3 linked regions of the Canis lupus familiaris genome follow. The protein of the gene in region 3 purifies or fractionates together with the protein of the main gene of each other region. This does not show direct contact. Links are inferred from orthologs where the notes say so. Each region holds a gene or a part of one and is shown on either strand. Other genes may lie near its edges.

Region 1 (3,721 bases), on a different chromosome or scaffold from region 3:
AGAAACGAATAAAAATAAGTCATTCATTATGCTTAATCAATTCTCTCCTTTCTAGTTTGCATCTACTACAACACAAAGTGAAAACTTTGTGGAAAGTTCAGAAGAGACTGAAAGGAAGAGGAAAAGTAGGAACATAGGGAAGATTTTGTACAGATATAATCTATAGTTCTGAATATTTTTTTCTTCTTATTCAGATACTTACCCAGGAGGTAGAGGTTCCGGTCTATCCCACGTTGTTCTTTTTTCAATATGATCTACATAGTAAACTCGCCCATGCTGGTCCACTCTCTGTTCCCAACTTAAATACAAAATTTAAAAGACTGGTATGGCACTTATCTTTGCTATTTTCTCTAAAATGACCATATTACAGAATTGAGGCAAATAAGCATGTCAATATATAAAAAAAAAGATACCAAAAGAATTTAAGAATAAAGTCAAGAAATGTTATCCTGAGTGAATAAGATTTCTCCTGCAGCAGTATCTCCTCAAGAGATGCCCTGTATTCCTCAAGAGGTCTGAGGCAGATGCATGTAGGAGACGATGTCTACCTCAATCTGATCATGGCATAACTTGGTGGGGGAAAAAAAAAGCTGTAATTGTTACGAAATCTGAAGAAAGATTGAGCTAACTGAAAGGCAAAGCACTATTTGTGTTCCAGAATTGAAATCAAGTATTAAGATTTGATCAGATATGTCTCTGCACAGTCTAACAGACAAAATCAACTGGGTATTCTAGTCTCCTTTGTAGGTTCCCAAAGTGAAGAAGACAGGCATATACCATCACAGCTTAGAAGTACCATGACTTCAGAGAGCACAGGTTTCTGTTTGCTAATCCCTTACATAAGTAATTTTCTAATTCAGCTTCCTATGTAGGTTTTGAAAAAGGAAAATGGCTCAACTACCCAGACAAATAATATCTGTTTAGCAATTAAAATTTTCACCATAGGTACGTCTGGGTGACTCAGCAGTTGGGCATCTGCCTTTGGCTCAGGTCATGATCCTGGGATCCGGGATTGAGTCCCACACTGGGGTCCCTGCGGGGAGCCTGCTTCTCCCTCTGCCTGTGTCTCTGCCTCTCTCTCTGTGCGTCTCTCATGAATAAATAAAATCTTTTTAAAAAATTCTTTTCATCCTAAGGGTTTATTAACTTATCAGCCAATTAAGTTTAATTAGATTCCAAATTCTGGATTAACTGAATACCACAATGTATATATGTATGAAACTATTACAGTATTACTAACTTTTAAAATAATTAGTAGAGATTAAAACGGGAGGAGTACTAATTTTCTTAGTTCCTTAAGTTATTGCTACTTTGCTATAATGACTGTATGACAGAAAAATTTTATTTTAAAAAGTGTTTTTCCCCCCTTCAAAGAGTAAACAATCTGAATTAGGTGACTTTTATTACTTGGCACTTTAACTTTCTATGGTTCAGAGTCCTTCCATTTAAAAACAAAATAAAACAAAAAATAGCCACCTTTGCCCTGAAAATGAGGAGGGCATTGATTTTAATGTGGTGAGGTTTTTTTGCTCAGTCTGACTCTAGACACAACACCCTCAAGATCAGTTACCATTGTTTGAAGATGGTAGTTTGTTTTTTGGGTTTTTTTTTTTTTTTTTTTTAAGATTTTATTTATTTATTCATGAGAGACACAGAGAGAGAAGCAGAGACATAGAGGGAGAAGCAGGCTCCTCCCAGGGAGCCCAATGTGGGACTCAATCCCCAGACCCGGGATCACACCCTGAGCCAAAGGCAGATGTTCAACCATTGAGCCACCCAGGTGTCCCTAAAGATGGTTTTCTAAAGAATGGAATTATTATTTTCCTTACTAGTTAAATATATGCAGAAGCCTAAAGCAAACAAATATTAACTAAAAACAGTTACTTACCCAGGTGGTAGGGGAGCCTGAGGTACAGGATTTAATGGCCTAGGGCCTGAGCCTCCAGATATAGTAAGAGGAATTATTAATCCAGATGTTGCTCCTTCAGATGTATTTGAATTTATATTTGTTGGTGGCAGAGAGCCTGTACTGGATCCATCACTTTCAGAAGTGGCAGATGGTGAACCATTGACAGATGCTATAAAAGATTTATGGAAAACAACCATCTTTTATTCTCAGAAATCTAAATTCAAGATAGAATTTAGCTTTAAAAAATAAAAAAGTAGATGACAAATAGAAAGTTTAAGATGTGGACATGCAGATGAAAATTAAACTTTTAAAATAACTTTTTAGGTTTCATCTACTGCATGTCTCTTTATTAATCCTAAAGCACATACGAATTGATTTCCCGATGCCACAAGAAATAAAAACTTTAAGAATAGGAAAGCACTGGTATCCTTTGGTATTATAAGTTCATTTCGCAATTTTCCAGAACCTTAAAATTGTCTTTTCTACAAAACCCTGCAGATCAAAGACCAAGTTCTGATGTTAAAATACAGAAGACCTGACTGTTAAGCAATAGCATTCATACAAATAGTTATAAAGTATATATTACATATTCAAGAACATTTGACACAATTCCTGGGAGAGGTCACTAATATTTTGACAAAATAGTATTTGATCTTAAAGACTAGGAATATATTAATACATTTTCTACCAAGAAGGGGGAGAGGGGGAGTTGTATAATTAAACACAAATTCTTTTAATAAAATTACTTGTAGGATGACGAATTTGCTTTTCTAATAATATCTGGTTTAACTCTTTTATACTGCCTGTCTACATAGTGCCAGAGGGAAATAATAAAAGATGAAAGATTCTATCCTGACTAATCAGGAAAAATGGATATTCACTTACAGATGTTCACATTTTTACTACATGAAATATGTTCACTTGTATAATTTTTGCTTCAAAATGTGACTATCATTTAGCATTGTTGGGTTACTCGCCATTTACTAAATGTCTTTTAAAGGATATAACGAGAATAAGCAACCAGATCCTTTACAATATGAAATGCTATGTCCACACTGTTACAAACCCTGCTGAAAAGATAAAATCTTATCTATACTGCCTATACTTTTATAATGCACATATGGATCTCATTTTTTCCCTCTTTTTCAATAAAACACTTACCTCAATAACTTCACCCCTTGGAGGTACTTAGGGAAAAGGCACACATTAGTCTACTTCTAGAAAGATCATTCCTGGCTAAAATCTTAAATGTAAAAATATGGCTAGAAAACCTACCTAAAAGGATCTCTTAACACTTACCAGAGGATCAATTCCCAAATAGAACATTATTTACAATCATAGTACTGACAGCCACATCCGTATTACATGGCTGGAATACACACCAGGTCTACGTGGGGTAGGTGGAGGTGGTCGTGAAGGTCTTGGAGGCCTAGAAGGTTTAAAACCACCATTTGAGAGTGATGGAGAATTATTTCCATTGACCTTCCTATTTTCACCAGTCCCAGTATCCTCAGGCTCATCTGATCCATTTGTGTTTGTTCTGGATAAGGAGGAGGGAAAGGGAAGGGAAAACAAATGCTCTTTGAATTTAACAAAAACAAGACCAGAACTTAAAATTGCTGGCCAGTCTCATCAAATACATAGTCTTTAGGTAGAGTCTTATGTATAACCTCAGAGCCCACCTGGATAGAGTGAGGGGTTGCGCAAAGGCACAGAAACACTTGTGATCCTTCAAAACTATTAGCTATGGGGATTTGGGTTTCAAGTAAGTTCTTTGGAGGCCCTGTACAAGTAGGAACAGAGTCAAATTCT
Region 2 (3,721 bases), on a different chromosome or scaffold from region 3:
TTTGTGTGTGTTCCTGGGGGTCGTGGGACATACACCTGGAGTGTCTGCCTCTACTGTGACCTGTCTTCCCAGGATCTGTCCGACTCCTCCCTATACCCAGCAGGAGCTCTGGCAGCCAGAGATCACCTCATACCTGCTCACAGCCTCGCACCACACAACAGCAGAGGTGGCCACAGGGCTTGGGGTTGATCATGGTGGGGACATTCTCCTTGCTCTGGAGGTTTGTGAAGTAGAGCTTTCCCCGCTCGGCCTTCTTCCTGTGAGAACCAGGCGCCCAGTCACCCGCCGCCCAGCTGGGACTGCGAATGACTGGAAGGAAGGGTCGGAGCTTGGCTCAGGGGTCATCTAGGTCCACTCCCTAAGGACAGGGGGGTGAGCTTGGAATGCATGGTTCAGATATGTCCCCATTCAAGAGTCTTCCCACCCATCCCTTGAGGGCCAAAAATTCTTCCTATGGTTTGACCTAAATTTCTTATACTGTAGCTAGAGAAGGGGATGTCCTCAGATGAGGTGGGGATGGTGGACACCTTGCCTCTTGCAACAAACTCGAATCTCCAGGGCTTGCTCTTCCCAGAGCTGAACTGACAGGCACTCCAGGGGTTGAATTAAAATCACATGCCCTGGGAAAAACCTGGAAGGGGAGCCAGGTGCCTGTGGCAGCCAGGATGCCCTCCACAATAGGCAGGGGTCCCTCCAGTGTCATCCCCCCATTACCTCTCTGCATCGAGGAACATAAGGCGAGCCACATTGTAACACGGGCGAGCTTCAAGAACCGTGCAGTTGGGATAGGCCTCCCTGAAACACAGTCCACCATCATCTTCTGCAGGGACTCTGCCCAACAGCGCCCCCTCCCGACTTGCAGCCGTGACCTCATCACCTTTAAGACCTACATCCCCAATTCAAGCTCCCTCTCTCTGGTCTACAAATATGGGAGTTCCATATGAATAAACCTTTGAAATTCTTCCCCATGTTTATGTGAGTAGCGGGAGGAAATAGGAGGGCACGGGGACTTTGCACACTCCTTAATGACCTGGGATGACTGTATACCTGTGTGGTGCTAGGGAGGCCACGGCTGGGGGCTGATTCCATGTCCAAGCTCTAAACTTCCAATTGAGAGAAACTGTTTCTACTCATGGGTTGTTCTCTTAACCCTGTTTCTAGAATACCTGGTTACAGACCAACACAGCCTTGACCATGAACTGACTACAACTTACCCATAGCCCAGTCTACAGAATGACTCCTGCCCCAAGACTGACCAAAGACTGATCCTGAACCCTGACCTGAAACTGACCCTTTACCTGGATCCAAATCACCCATAACCTAGACCCAAGACTGACCTTCTAACCCTGACCTGAAATTGACCTTAATCTTGCCTTGAAACTGAGCAGAGGGAAACTGTGACTCTCAGTACTGGTACCTGGCAGGACTCGAGAGGTGCTTGTTGATGGAAGGAGCAGTTCCTTTTTACTTTTCATCACACACTGCTCCCTCCCTGCTCTCTAATCTAGACTGAGCCACATATTTTTTTTCTTAAGATTTTATTTATTTATTCATGAGAGACACAGAGAGGCAGAGAGACAGGCAGAGGGAGAAGCAGGCCTCTGCAGGGAGCTTGATGCAGGAAGACCTGAGCTAAAGGCAGATCCTCAACCACTGAGCCACTCAGTTGTCACTGAGCCTTGTCTTTAAAAAAAAAAAAAAAACTTTTTAGGGGCATGTGGGTGGCTCAGTTGGTTAAGCATCTGCCTTTGGTTCAGGACATGATGTCAGGGTCCTGGGATTGAGCCTCATGTTGGACTCCCTGGCTTGTGGGGAGTCTGCTTCCCCCTTCTTCCTCCCCCTTCTTTGTTCCCCATCCCCCCAAATGAATAAATAAAATCTTAAAAAAAAAAACCTTTTAAATAAAGAACCACCAAGTGTCACAGAGGTATAAGATCTAGTTCTAAAGTGGACCATGCAAATCCATGAGAATTTGGAAACTTCAATCTGGGATGGGGTCCTTGAAATGCACTGTAGACCTTTTCCCTGTTGCTGTGTTGTTCCAACTATTTTAGGGTTCTTCTTCAGAAGGACCTTCAGCCCTGTGGCAGGCTGAGCCCTCATTCTCACCCAACTAATCCCTAACCCTCTAATCCCCACCATGCAGGCTTTCTGATTTTGCATACAGGATCTTCCCTAGTTCTGCTGGGGCAGCCTTCCAATCCAGACAGACCCCCAGACTTGGATCACAAACCCTACTCATACATCACCATACATCAAGCCTGGGCCAACAGCTTAGACACAGTAGGTGCTCAATAAACATGTGCGGAACGAATGGATCAATGAGATGATTGCTCCCTGATACTCAACTCCTTGGGGATATTCTCCAAGCTCCAATTAGGACTATAGTCTCCCCCACTCCTGTTCAAAGGCTGACCACTAATTTTAATCACAGTTTGCTTCCTAAACGAAACCACAGACTGACCCCTGAAACAGAAAGCCTCAACCATGAGCTCCCCACAGGTACCCATCAGGTCTGGTATAAAGTAGGTGTATGACAAATGTGTGCTGAATGGATGCTTGGTTAGCAGGGTTCACTTCCTCATGGCATGCAGGGCCCTGTCAGAGACCCCCTGCCCACCCCAATGTTTCCCCAATGGAAACACACCTCTTCCTGACTCTACTCTGTTTCTCTCACTGCTTTAGTTTTCTTCTTGGCACCTGACCCTGCTTGACATGGTACCTATTACTCATTCATTTGTTTCTTATCTGCCTCGCCCACCAGAATGTGAGCCGATGAGGGCAGAGGCTTTTTCTTTTTTTGTTTACTGCTGTAACCCCAGCTCCGACTCCGGTGTAGGCACATGCCAAGTACTCAGTAAGTATTTGTTATTAAAGGCTTACCAGTACAAGCTGACAACTGATCCCAACAGGACGGTCATATTAAGATGTCGCCTAATTCTGAGCACACACTGTCCTTAATCCTGACCCAGACTGCCCCCTAATGCCGATCACAGCTTGGACTCCAGATAGGATCCCAAGTCATTCTCCTACCGACCGAGGATAATCTAAATTTGATTTCTGTTCTTTAACTTCTATGAGGGTCTGGCCTGTTTCTAATTTGTTAATACTTGGGGTATAGAAGGTGACAATAAATGCATGTGGAACAAATGAGTATCCATTCACTATTGCGGATCACAAACCACTCATTTACCTGCAACAAAGGGATCTGTGATCTGAACCTGACCAGAAACTGACTCTCAAAAAAAAAGAAAAAAAAAAAAGAAACTGACTCTCGATCCTGTTCTGATCCAGGCCAACTGACAGTGGATCTAGACCTCACTGAGTCCTTGATTCTGACCACCAATGTCCCTTATCAGGGCCACTGGCCAACTCCTAATTCTGGTCACAGACCGACCTCAGACCAAACTCTGATCAGACCTTGCATCAGCTCCTAATGCTAACCGCCACCATGTGAATCCCGTGAGTGCTCAATGATCTTTCATTTATTTCTAGGGTCCCAAGGCTCACCACAGTGACTTAGCCCTAATATTGTTTGAAAAAGTCTGCTGAGTGTACAGATAAATGTATGACAGGATCCCTAATCCTGTACATGCACTGTTCCAACCACCTGGCACTCCTGGAGATGTATACTCCCCTCTCCACAAAACAACTCCAGAGGTGAAAAGAGCCTCAGGGAACATGTAGCTCAGGTTTTCAGGGCTCCCTCAGGACCCAGTGA
Region 3 (4,023 bases):
AGCCCTTCGAGTGGGACAGCTTGGAGATGATAATGCAGTAGCAGGACAGGATGACGATACCCGGCAGGATAAGGCCAACCATTATGTGCTGAAACTGGAACACCACCAACCATGAGTCATTGGGATAGAAGCGGTCACAGATATACCTGTCATCTGCCTCCCTGACATTGGCAAAGATGAAATCGGGAATAGTCAACAGGAGAGCAGGTATCCAGACGCCAACGTAGACCACCTTTTCCGCCAACAGCTTCCTTGGCCTCTGACTGTTGGTGGCATGGACAATAGCCAAGTACCGGTCCAGACTGATGAAGGCCAGGATGAGGACACTGCTATAGAGGTTGACAGTATAGATGACATGGACCGCCTTGCACAGGAAATTCCCGAAGTACCAGTTTGCCACAGCCTCAACTGCCCAGAAGGGAAGTGTGAGGACAAAGAGGAGGTCTGCCACAGACAGGTGCAGTCTATACTTGTCTGTCATGCTTCTCAGTTTCTTCTGGTAACCCATGACCAGGATGACCAATCCATTGCCCACTATGCCAGTCAAGAAGATGATGGAGTAGACTGTGGGCAGAAAGATACGGTTGAAGTGAGCATTTTCCTCCCGGAAGCAGGGTTCCTTCATGGAGTCATAGTCGCCTGAGCCCAAGTCCTCTTCTGTGTAGTTATCTGAAGGGTATATCTGCAAAAGAGGCAAGGGAAGGGATGTTAATTTTCTAGTTCAGCTGGCATTCTCCAACTTAAAAAAAAAAAATGTTTCTGCGATTTTTAAAAAGTAATTTATAAAACCCAAGTCAGCCCAGGCTTCTTCGGGACACTCTGCTTCGGATGAAGTAGTGAATGGAAGGGCACAAGAGAATTGTTATAGATTCCTGCAACCCTCCTCCTCATCTTCCCCAGAGTCACTTGTTATATCCTTCTTAAGTAGAACCAATTACAAAATCCTTTGTTTAGAACAAAAGGGCGCTGAGATTCTGAGTGTTTGAAAGTCACATCTTTGCTAACTCTTCTACCCCACCCACGGGGGGGGGGGGGGAGAAAAAAACCTTGGGAGGGAAAATACCAAAACAAAACACAAAGAAGCCACTCCTAGACTGTGCGCCCTAGGGAGTGGGAGAGGTGGGGTGGGGGTGGGGGGCAGGCGAGGAGTGGGAACAGAAGCTTGAGTTCCGAGGAGCTGGGATTAATTTTCTATACGAAGGTTTCCCCAGGATAGGGAAAAGGGAAAGAATGAGTATGGGGGGGGGTCCTCAAAACTTTCTCCTAAGGCACAAAACATTGCCTTCCCCTCGTCCATGTAAACACAAACCAATCTGTACTTCAAGCAACACGTAGTGGGGAAGGAGGCTACAGCCTTAAAGGAAGGATCTGTGGCGCGTGGGGTGAACAGGGCTGTCACAGGAGGGTGCGGACGCGCACAGCGCCTGGGGCTTGCGCTCCTCCGGGCGCGGGCCTCTCCGCCCGACCGTCTACCTCTTGGCGCGTCTGCGGCGTCGGGGAGCGCGGCGATTTACTGCGAGGGGAAGGTCACGGGGTCTGCACTCATGGTCCTCGCCCCGAGTTTCATTTCCTCACCCTCCCGGGCCGCTTCCCACCCCGCCACTGACCCAGTAAATGGGGTCGGAGGTCTGCAGCTGGAAGCCTCGGGGCGGAGGGCGCCCTGAGGCCGGGGGGGGGGGCGGGCGAACCCCCGACCTCCGCGCCTGCCCCGCGCCCACGCCCACCAGCGGGCGCCGCGGCTCCCGGGGTCTCGCCCAGCACCTCGCCAAGGGCAGGCTCACAGGGTGTTGGGGAGCGAATGGGCGTCTCCCCCTAACAGCCTTTGAATCGCGCGCCGCCGGGGGAAACGAAAAGCCTTCCTGGTAAGGGGTTTTCAAAAGTCTCCAGGAAACCACCAACGGTTCAACAGCGCATTTGGGATCGGCGAGTGCCAAACGGTCTCCCCGCCTGCACCTGCCCGTGTGCGCCGCGCACACCCGCAGCCCAGGTGCCCTCGCAGCCTCCCGCGGGTCCCCGCCGCGCACACCTCCGCTCCGCCGTCGGGGCCCGGGGCCGCTCGCCGCGCTTCCCACGGCCGCTCCCCGCGGGGCCGAGGCTCAGATGCCCGCCTCTCCCGCCCTCTGCTCGCCGGCGGGGGTCCTGACGCAGCCCGCGGGCTGTGCAGAGCTTAGGGCCCGCGCGCCCACCCTCAGGGGCGCCCCCCCCCCAGCCTGAGATTAACGAGGGGCGCGGTCCTCGCCCTGGGAACTCAGCCCCGCGCGCCGCCCTCCGCCTCTAGCTCCAGCTCCTGTAATCACCCCCCCCCCACGCCTCCCGCCCCCCGCCATCCTCGGGCCGAGTCCCGGGACGGCGCGCGCCCGCTGCTGTGCAGGACGTTCTTGGGTCTGCAAGCTGTGCCGGCCCAGCGCGCGCCGCAGGCTCCAGGGGGAGACACACGCATCTCTCCTCCTCGCCCTACAGAGCCAACGATTCCAATCCTGCCGGGTCCTCCGGGGTCGCCACGCGCACGGAAACTCCCTTCCACGCTCCTTCCCCGGGACCGGCCCCTCCCACGCTCCGCTCGCCTCGGCTCGCTCCGAGGGGGGTCGCGCCCTAAGTTTTCGTGTTTGCGCGTGTAAGGAAATCAGGTCGAAACCGGACTTACATGGAGCTCTTCCATGGTAACCGCTCGCCCGCCGGCCGCCGTGGCTACCGGAGCACCCAAGCCGTCGGGGTCACTTTGCTACCTGCTGCCGCAGCCAACAACAGACTGTGAAGTTTCTGGCTGAAGCTGGACTTTTATAAAAACACGCTCGGCGGGCGGCGCATGCGCCGCGCGGATGGGCGGGCGGGTGGGGCCGGGAGGAGGGAGGCGGGGTGGGGGGAGAGGGGCCGGCGTGCGGGAGGAGGGCGCGAGGGAGGGGCGGGTCCCGCCCGGCTGCAGCCCCGGCGAGGTTAATTGGGGCAAACCTGGGAATCCCCTGAGCCGCCGCTGTGAGCTGGAGGTCACCTTGGGAGTCTCGGGCTGCGCGTGGAGGGCTTCCCGGAGGCGTCCCCCAACTTGGGAACGCTGAGCGCGCCCGGAGGGAGGTGAGAGGCGCGGGCCACCTACGCGACCCAGTGTGCATCCATCCTTGCTCACGTGGATGGAACTCCGGCCCCGGGAATGCTACAGATGGGGAAACTGAGGCCCGGAGAAGGGTAGTGAAGTAGCAGCATAACCCAGCCCGTAGGCGGCAATGCCCACGCGGGTCCAGCATGTGACTCCCTTCCCCGCGCTCTCAGCGGATGCAGACCGCTCAGAAAACAAAACGGTTCTGTCCTCGGAGCACAACTGTCTGTAAGCATACGCGCCCATCCCCAGTAACAGTGCCCGCATCAGGTGTGCAAAATACGGAAACACTTCCAGAAGAGGGTAGGATGATTTGGCGTAATCAAGGAGGGAGACCGTGCCGGGGAAGTAGGTGCGTGTTTGCAGGCAACCAGGTAGTGACAGCCGTCCTCAGACGTCCGTGTAAGTGCGCCTGATTAGGAGGGTGGCTCCGCGAACAGTAGTTTCTGTAACAGATCACGAGGCAGACTTGCACAGAATCACTCATTCATTCGCACAACAGCGATGCATTTAGCCCACCGGGGGCCGGGGCGTGCGATGCCCTGCTCGCGGCGCTGACCCGAGGACAAGGCCCCCACGCGGAGGAAACGGAGCCGGCTGGCGGCCACGAGGCGCGAGGGTCGGGATCCCAAGCCGGCTGGAGCGCACGTGTGGCCCCGTACCCGGCGTCCTCCTGCACTCGGCGCGGAGCACGAGCGGCCGCGGGGATGAGAAGTTAGGCGGAAGGCTCGGGCGAGGTGGGGTGGGGGTGGGGGTGGGGGTGGGGGTGGGGCTGGACGTTGAAGAGGCCCCGGCAGGCCGGGTTTGCAGGGGCCGCTCCCTCCCTCCCTCCCTCCCTCCAGGTGCGAGCGCCAGCCAGAGAGGGCGCGAGGGCGCTGCGACGCGCACCCCGGGCTGGTCGCTTGCAGACTGCAAGGCTTGCCCAGTCTGCA

The links.
Region 1: the proteins of C-X-C chemokine receptor type 4 (region 3) and ITCH purify together in Homo sapiens (affinity purification with western blotting; 5 studies listed by BioGRID and IntAct, with this or other methods). This does not show direct contact. The link is inferred for Canis lupus familiaris from reciprocal best matches to the Homo sapiens genes CXCR4 and ITCH.
Region 2: the proteins of C-X-C chemokine receptor type 4 (region 3) and TMEM63B purify together in Homo sapiens (co-immunoprecipitation; 3 studies listed by BioGRID and IntAct, with this or other methods). This does not show direct contact. The link is inferred for Canis lupus familiaris from reciprocal best matches to the Homo sapiens genes CXCR4 and TMEM63B.

The regions. Positions count from the first base shown.
Region 1 is NC_049245.1:24,084,018-24,087,738, reverse strand, and holds part of ITCH (E3 ubiquitin-protein ligase Itchy homolog), read right to left. Parts: intron 3,450-3,721; coding exon 3,292-3,449; intron 2,079-3,291; coding exon 1,889-2,078; intron 299-1,888; coding exon 203-298; intron 1-202. UniProt on the Homo sapiens protein: Acts as an Acts as an E3 ubiquitin-protein ligase which accepts ubiquitin from an E2 ubiquitin-conjugating enzyme in the form of a thioester and then directly transfers the ubiquitin to targeted substrates.
Region 2 is NC_049233.1:12,753,423-12,757,143, reverse strand, and holds part of TMEM63B (CSC1-like protein 2), read right to left. Parts: intron 796-3,721; coding exon 715-795; intron 258-714; coding exon 134-257; intron 1-133. UniProt on the Homo sapiens protein: Mechanosensitive cation channel with low conductance and high activation threshold. Osmosensitive cation channel preferentially activated by hypotonic stress.
Region 3 is NC_049240.1:40,353,757-40,357,779, forward strand, and holds the start of C-X-C chemokine receptor type 4, read right to left. Parts: upstream 2,801-4,023; 5' UTR 2,660-2,800; coding exon 2,645-2,659; intron 683-2,644; coding exon 1-682.